2 linked regions of the Callithrix jacchus genome follow. The protein of the gene in region 1 purifies or fractionates together with the protein of each later gene. This does not show direct contact. Links are inferred from orthologs where the notes say so. Each region holds a gene or a part of one and is shown on either strand. Other genes may lie near its edges.

Evidence for each region.
Region 2: the proteins of PFDN2 (region 1) and VBP1 fractionate together in Homo sapiens (co-fractionation; 8 studies listed by BioGRID and IntAct, counting the BioPlex papers as one, with this or other methods). This does not show direct contact. The link is inferred for Callithrix jacchus from reciprocal best matches to the Homo sapiens genes PFDN2 and VBP1.

The regions. Positions count from the first base shown.
Region 1 is NC_133519.1:20,975,931-20,980,233, reverse strand, and holds the start of PFDN2 (prefoldin subunit 2), read left to right. Parts: upstream 1-1,437; 5' UTR 1,438-1,463; coding exon 1,464-1,538; intron 1,539-4,303. Other genes in the region: NIT1 (deaminated glutathione amidase), read right to left, coding at 1-15, 122-376, 611-706, 1,302-1,303. UniProt on the Homo sapiens protein: Binds specifically to cytosolic chaperonin (c-CPN) and transfers target proteins to it. Binds to nascent polypeptide chain and promotes folding in an environment in which there are many competing pathways for nonnative proteins.
Region 2 is NC_133524.1:150,956,403-150,960,509, reverse strand, and holds the start of VBP1 (prefoldin subunit 3), read right to left. Parts: upstream 2,930-4,107; 5' UTR 2,907-2,929; coding exon 2,814-2,906; intron 1-2,813. UniProt on the Homo sapiens protein: Binds specifically to cytosolic chaperonin (c-CPN) and transfers target proteins to it. Binds to nascent polypeptide chain and promotes folding in an environment in which there are many competing pathways for nonnative proteins.

The DNA of each region.
Region 1 (4,303 bases):
CAGAGTCCACATTCCCTGGGGGGAGGGGACACTGACTTCTCAAGGCTGTACCCTCATATTTGGCAATCTAGGGGCACTGCCCAACAAAGATTTTACCTCTCCCTCCCCCATTCCCTGATACCTGGCAAGCTGGGTGTATTCTTCCAAAAGTTTCCCACCCAGTGGTTCAGACAGGTGTAGCGTCTCTGCAGGGTCCCGTGCAATGAAGTCAAATGCTTCAGGCAGGAAAGCCAGGCAAGCACCCAGTCTGGCAGCCTCTCGAACCAGCTCAGCACATGTTTTAAAGTTCTGTTGCTTGTCTGGCGTTGATGTTACCTGGCACACAGCCACGAGGGGCAGTTTGCAGGAGGAAGAGGAGATAGCCATGGCTCTGGGCCTGTGAACAGCATAGACAGGATTCTCAGATTTCAGTGCATGAGGAAACAAAATTAATGCTAAAGGGTGCAAGGGAGGAAAGCTGGACTTCCTTTTGATCCTGCTCTTACAGGCCCAGGGCTAGTAGGGCTTACTAATCAAATGTGGATAATTGACAGTCCTGTGTCTCCCATTATCCATTTAACAAACTGAGCATCTAAGTGCCAGGCACTGAGGACACAACAAAACGTGTTACCTGGGCTGAGCACAAAGTACAGAGAGTCGAGGTATCCGGAGTCCAGGACACAGAAAGGACAGGAGTCGGTGAAGAGGCCTGGTGAGGAAGCCCAGCCTGAAGAAGGTGAGAAATGAGGGCACCAATCCCTTCCTTGAGCAATAAATTTCTTGGATTCTCTGACTTCTCTTTATACTGTGAGCCCGAATCAGGGCCCTGCCAGCAAAAACCTTCTGGTCTTCAAAACATTTTTTACTTCTGTAAGTACTTATGGGCTAAGGGACGGTGGAAAGATGGAGGAAGGGGCTCTGCTCGCCTCCTGAACAGATCAATTTTCAATGATCTCACATTAAACTGAAGCCCTTTTCCTCTGACAAACGTTTCCGCAGTCCAAAGTCATCTCCGGGAACTACCCTTGGTTTTCCCAAGACTCTCTTCTTGACTGTGCACTTGCACAGATTTACTGACTCAAAGCGTATTTCCCCTTTCACCAGAATCTCTCAGGAGGAAGTTCACCCTAACTCGACTCCCACCCCTCCAAGGTGGGCAAGGGGCAAAGGAACCCAGGCCCCACGCCGCGCCCCGCTCTCCACCCCCCGCTCCAGTTGGCCCGTCCCTCCCCGCCTCTCCCAGGGGCAGCATCTCTGTCGCACAGGTTAAAGCACCGCAAGTGGGATTCCCTGCGGCCGACGGGATAGGGAGTAGGTCCTACATGAAAATACTGCCAAAAACATTCGCAGGATTCGAGCCGATCCGGAGGGCGGCCTGGAGCCAGAGGCGCCGGGGCGAGTGGGCGGTAACTCGCAGGCCGGACGTGACGCAAGGTGGGGGGGGTGCTGAGCTGCGCCGGCCGGAAACCCAGCAGGCGACGAAGATGGCGGAGAACAGCGGTCGCTCCAGCAAGAGCAGCGTTAGCGGCGCGGGGAAGGGGGCGGTGTCCGCAGAACAGGTGAGGAGTGGAGAGCGAGATGGAGGGTCCCCATCTGGGTCTGGAGTATTTGCGAGAAGGGGGAGCCTGTGGCTTGTGTAGGCCTTTACTCCAGTACTACATGTGCGTTGCACCCAGAGAGGGAAGGGTCCCCGGAGAAGCTAGTCGAGCCCCTTGGGAGAGGTAGACGGTTGGGCAGGTGAGAGCCACGCCTCCCTGGGGTGTTGGGTGAGCCTGGGGGAGGGGAAAGCCCTGACCTGCAGGGTCTGGGAAGATGCACAGGTCTGAGGAGAGATGGTTCGCTGCTTTCTCCATATCTCCTCAGCACCTCCAAACAGGTTATGTCTGGGCAAGACAGCTCTAAAGTAACTCCCCATAGGATTAGTTAACGGGCTGGTTGTGTAGTCTGTTACGTGATCCTGAACTCACTTTGACAATCGCCGTCACGCTGCAGAGCCACGTGACTCACATACTCGAACAGCCTAGTGTTCCATACTATATGGATTCGAGAGTTCGGTACTAGATCGAATTTCTTTAGAGACTAGAAACCCCTTTCTAATCCCAGTTTGCATTTTCCCCAGTGCCTAGCTTCGGGAAACGTTTAATAAGTTAATCACAAAGCCCTTGTGTCTTGAGAACCGTGTTTTGCCAAGTGGAAAAATAGGAGTTGGAGGAAATCTGCCCAGTGAAAATGAAAAAACAGCTATTTTTTTTGAGACAGAGTGTTGCTCTGTTGCCCAGGCTGGAGTGCAGTGGCACGATCTCGGCTTACTGCAAACTCCGCCTCCCGGGTTCAAGCGATTCTTCTGCCTCAGCCTCCCGAGGCAGGGGCCATCGCGTCCGGCTAGTTTTGTATTTTTAGTAGAGACGGGGTTGCACCTTATTGTCCAGGCTGGTCTCGAACTCCTGACCTTGTCATTCGCCTGCTTTGGCCTCCCAAAGTGCTGGGGTTATAGGCGTGAGCCACCGCGCCCGGCTCTTCATCAGGTTTTGTTGAACAGTTAATACAGACAGAGGTATCAGCATAAAGATTTTTATTTTTTGAGACAGAGTCTTGCTCTGTCGTCCAGGGCGGAGTACAGTTGGGTGATCTCGGTTCAATGCAGCCTCCACCTCCCTGATTCAAGCAATTCTCCTGCCTTAGCCTCCCGAGTTGCTGGGATTAAAGGCAGGTTGCCCAGGCTGAGTGCAGTGGCGTGATGATAGTTCTCTGCAGCCTTGAAATCCCTGGGTGATGAAGCCATCCTCCTGACTCAGCTTCCTGAGTAGCTGGGACTATAGGCATAAAACATTTTGAGTGGCTAATTAAAAAAAATTTTTTTTGGTAGAGATGGGGGGAGTTCCACTTTGTTGCTTGGGATGCTCTTGAACTCCTGGCCTCAGGTGATCCACCTGCCTTGGTCTCCCAAAGTGTTGGGACTGCAGATGTGAGTCACCTTGCCCAGCCCCCTGTGATACTTTTTAAGGATACCATGTGTCAGGCACTCTGCTGGGTACAGCAATACAGATACAGTAGTTCCCCCTTATCCAAGGGGGACATGTTCCAGCACCCCAGTAGATGCCTGAAACCTGGGGTAATATTGAACCCTATGTTTTTTCACATACCTATGATAAAGTCTAATTTATATAATAGGTGCAGTAGTTAATAAAATAGAACAGTTCTAACAATATACTATAATAAAGATTACATGAATATGGTCTCTCTCTTTCAGAATATTTTATTGTACTGTACTCACCCGTCTTGTGATGATGTGAGATGAGAAAGTGCCTTCCTGATGAGATGAGATGAGATGAGATGAGATGAGATGAGATGAGATGAGATGAGATGAGATGATGAGATGATGAGATGATGAGATGATGAGGTGAATGACAGCATTGTGATGTAGCCTTAGGCCACTACTGATGATAAGTCAGAAGGAGAATCATCTGCTTTAGGTGATCTCACATCATTGAGCCATGACGATATTGAGCAGGAGAAGTTGACTAAAGGGCAGGTAGCATATATAGCATGGATAGTCTGGGCAAAGGGATGATTCACATCCTGAGCGGGATGGCTCGAGATTTCATCACGCTATTTTCCTAACAGCATGAAAGTTAAAACTTATGAATTGTTGGCCAGGTGCCATGGCTCAGGCCTGTAATCCCAGCACTTTGGGAGGCCAGGGTAGGTGGATCACCTGAGGTCAGGAGTTCAAGACCATCCTGGCCAACTTGGAAAACCCGTCTCCACTAAAAATACGAAAATTAGCCAGTCCTGGTGTTGGGCACCTGTAATCCTAGCTTCTCAAGAGGCTGAGGCAGAGAGAATCACTTGAACCCAGGAGATGGAGGTTGCAGTTAGCCAGGATTGCACCGTTGCACTCCAGCCTGGGCAACAGAGTGAGACTCTGTCTCAAAACAAAAAAACAAACAACCTTAAGAATTATTTCTGGAATTTTCCATTTTCAGACATTGGATAACTCTGGATAATGAGAGACTATTGTAAATGAAATAGACTTTGTCTTCAAATCGCTTTACTCACAGACTCATTTGAGAAAAGATGAATCAAACAATAAAGATTTATAATGTGCTACACAATCCCTTCATTATGGCAGCTAGAGGAGAGACCCCTAACTAATCATGAAGTTGCAGGACTGTGGGCAGGGGCTGGAAAAGGGAAGCTGTGGTATAGTAGGATGGCAGAGCATTCTTATGCACTAAGTTTGAATTTCATTTCTACCATTTACTATTTATATTTGACTTCCCCTATGTTACATCTTGGCCTCCCCAATCTGTAGAATCACTGT
Region 2 (4,107 bases), on another chromosome or scaffold:
GCCTGGTTTGAATCCTAGGTTTACCACTTACTAGATGAGTTGACCTTAGGAAAGTTAGTTAACCTCTCTTTGCCTCAATTTCCTCATCATCTGTACAAGTACTTTTCATCACCCGGGATTAAATGAGTGAGCATATAGGAGATGCTTCTAAGAGTATGTGACACCTATCTATAGCATAAAGTGCCATTGGGACACAAAGTGCTAGGGATTTCGTTTTGGGGTAGAGGTCAGAAAAAACTACAGGGAGTTGATATCTGAACTACAAGTGGAAAGATGAAGAGGTCATGAAACGGACAACGGTGAAAGAACAATTCAAGCAGAGAAAGAAAACAAATTACTGCCTCAGGGGGGTTGGGGAAAGAACCAGGTCTGACTTCTAACAACTATGGTATATTGACTCCTAGCATCATGGGCAATCATACCTATTCAACATCTACTACACTGCAATACTCAAGCATGTTGTTCTCTGTTTCCCATAACAACTGTCTAAGTATTGTCATCCCTATTTAGGTTAAAGAAACTCAGGCTCAAAGTGGTAAAATAATATGCTTAAGGCTAAGCAGCAACTGGGACGCAGAGCCAGGATTCAAATCCTGGTCGATTTAGAAGCCAATGATCTTTCAACAATACCATGTCACTTCAATTATTAACAGTTTGGGAACAAAAACAATTATATAAAATTGGGTTGCTTATTACATTATGTCAATAGAAATTTTAAGGTCTACAAAAAAATAGCCATGACATTGTAGGGAAAAAGCATTTTAAGATGTTATAAAGCCCTCAGATAAAGTGTATACTGTGGAGACAGATTTCTCTAGCTTAGCACTACGAATGTAACATTTAAGTCAGTACGGAAATTCAATTAGACACATAGGAGTTTATACTATGTGTCAGGCACTATTCTAGGGCCAGGAGAAATGACATAATGCATGAGAACTACCTCACCTCCTCACAGCAGCAGAGCATGAGGGGTAAGCTGGCGGTGTGGACCCCCACAGATTGCCGAAGTTCAAATCCTGGATACCTCATTTACATCCTGTGTGGCCTGGGGCAAGTTACTCAAGGGCCGTGTACCTCGGTTTTAACATCTAAAAACAGACCTAACAGTAGCTAATACCTAGAGTTTAGTAAAATCATTAAGAAAGTGCCCAGCACTCAACAAATTTTATTCCTTGTTATGATTAGATAATAGATTAATGTAAAGAAATAAATGGCACAGCTCATGAAAACACAAAATAATAAACAATTACAAAATGTAATCAGCAAATGCAAATAGACAATATCAAGTGTGGTGTAAATAAATTAGAGTTTTGAAGGACATAAGACATGATCAGTAAAAAGGCAGAGGTAAGGAAAGGTATAAATCAAAAGGTTCAGAAACTTTCAGAAACTAAATGGGGACAGACAGATGAGCTGGCCTGGAGGGCCAGTCAGACATTTTCTCTCATTACTCAAATAGTCTTCAAATACTATTTCTAAATAAAATAAAATTTTTAAAAAGGCACTCAGAACAGGGAGCGCCCTCCAGAACAACCTCTGGAGCGACCCGATCCCCTCTCGGATGCCAGTGAATCTGGGACCCAGCGCCAACACGAGGGTTCGGCCTCTTCTCTCAACAATTCATTCTCCACTAAGTTGTTAGAATGATGCACCTGAAACCAAAGGCCTTTTACAGTAGGCAATGGCAGTGCATTGCCAGCACTTTGGGAGGCCGAGGCGGGTGGACCACAAGGTCAAGAGATCGAGACCATCCTGGTCAATGAGGTGAAACCCCGTCTCTACTAAAAATACAAAAAATGAGCTGGGCACGGTGGCACGCGCCTGTAATCCCAGCTACTCCGGAGGCTGAGGCAGGAGAATTGCCTGAACCCAGGAGGCGGAGGTTGCGGTGAGCCGAGATCGCGCCATTGCACTCCAGCCTGGGTGACGAGAGCGAAATTCCGTCTCAAAAAAAAAAACAAAAAAAAAACCTCATTCCTTACGAAGCCATAGAAGGGGTTTACACTCTCACCCCATCATCCTACTTCTTCTACTTCCCCCAAGGCAACAGACCACGGCATTCCTTCAACAGACACGGTGATATTCCCTTTTTCTTTTTTTTTTTTTTTTTTTTTTTTGAGACGGAGTTTTGTTCTCGTTACCCAGGCTGGAGTGCAATGGCGCAATCATCTCGGCTCACCGCAACCTCCGCCTCCTGGGTTCAGGCAATTCTCCTGCCTCAGCCTCCCGAGTAGCTGGGATTAAAGGCGCGCGCCACCGTGCCCAGCTAATTTTTTGTATTTCCAGTAGACACGGGGTTTCACCTCGTTGACCAGGATGGTCTCGATCTCTTGACCTTGTGATCCACCCGCCTCGGCCTCCCAAAGTAATGGGATTACAGGCGTGAGCCACCGCGCCCGGCCCTCCCTGTTTTCACATCTTGGCACTAGCTGTTCTGCCTATTCATTGTACTGTCTCTCCAGCAACTAGGCGGAGTCGAGAGCTCCTCACCATTTCCCCTTTTCCAAGCAGCAGGGGGGCTCGAAAACCAGCCGCAGCCGGCAGGTCCCTAAGGCCGCCCCGCCGCCCCTCACCCTCGCCCAGGCCCCGCACCCCGTTCTCTTCTAGGACCTTCTCGAGCTACGTGTCTTCCGGGCGGGCCGCAGCAGAGCTCAATCTTTCCATGTGCAAAGAAGAGTGAGAGCGGGCCGAGCACCCGGTCCCTGAACCTTTAGCTCAGCTCCTTCCAACAGTAGAGGCCTAGGTGTGAGCCGGAAACAAAGGGGCAGTCCGCAGTCTCGAACCAAGATGCCAGGGAACAGCGTGCTTCTTACCACAAACACGGCCTCGGGAATCCCCAGGTGGAGCCGCCGCCCATTCCCTGTTGCCATTTCTCCTTTGCCGCTACCGTCTTTCGCGGCCGCCATCTTGGGGATGCGAGTGCTCGACTGCCTTCCGAGCCACCGCCCACCAGGATTTCGTGATTGGCTCGTTCGCACCTACAGGCCCGCCTCTCCGTACACATTCATTGGTGCGCAGGAAAGGTCCCCCCACCAAGTTCCGGTTCTCCTTTGGTCGAAATAGGTGCTGATTGGCTGCGCTCAGGTAAGTGACAAGCGTGGAAGGGCCGCAGAAGACAAGCTGGAGCGGCAGGAAAAACCCTTACGTCCTCTTGGGAAAAGGAGTCTTGTGAGTGAGCTGTGCTAAAGCCCTAGGAATGGGGACCTAGCCTGACCCCACCCCGACCCTAGAACTCGCAGCAGCCTTGACAATGGCCTCTGGAGCGACCGAATTCGCTCTCGGATGCGAGCGAACCTCAGACCTATCGCCATCACAAGCGTTCAGCCTCTGTGCCTTTCTGGTCTCACCATCCCAAGGAGCTTCCTGCCTCTTTTTTTTGAAACGTATTTTCGCTCTCGTTACCCAGGCTGGAGTGCAATGGCGCGATCTCGGCTCACCGCAACCTCCGCCTCCTGGGTTCAGGCAATTCTCCTGCCTCAGCCACCCGAGTAGCTGGGATTACAGGCACGCGCCACGGCGCCCAGCTATTTTTTTGTATTTTTGGTAGAGATGGATTTTCACTATATTGGCCAGGCTGATCTCGAACTCCTGACCTCAGGTGATCCACCTGCCTCGGCCTCCCAAAATGCTGGGATTACAGGCTTGAGCCACCGCGCCCGGCCATTGAAGGGAACTTACTTTGTGTCTGTTTCAGACTGGAGTCACGGGCCTCATTCTAATAAATACCCTGCCTGTCGCACCAACCTTTCCCGAAAGCCACCTTTGATCAGAATGTCTTCTCTCCAGCTGAAACGTTTCCAGAACCTCATAGTCCACATACAAAATCCTAAGAACTCCACCCAGGCTTCTAGGCCCATGGACTTACCCAATGTCATCCTATGCTACAATCCTGTAAAAGCATATCTGTCGTATAGAACCAAGTAATTACTCTTCAGGCCCTTTTCTGTCCTTTCTTCCACTGGAGTGTTTCCCAGTGAAGCAGTGCTTCATCCACTCACACAAATTCCACCATAAGCATAAGAATTATGCAATGGAAAGCCTTATACATAGAAAGAAACAACCAGTATTAGCCTTTCTAAAAATATACCAAAAAGTAAAGAGCATCAA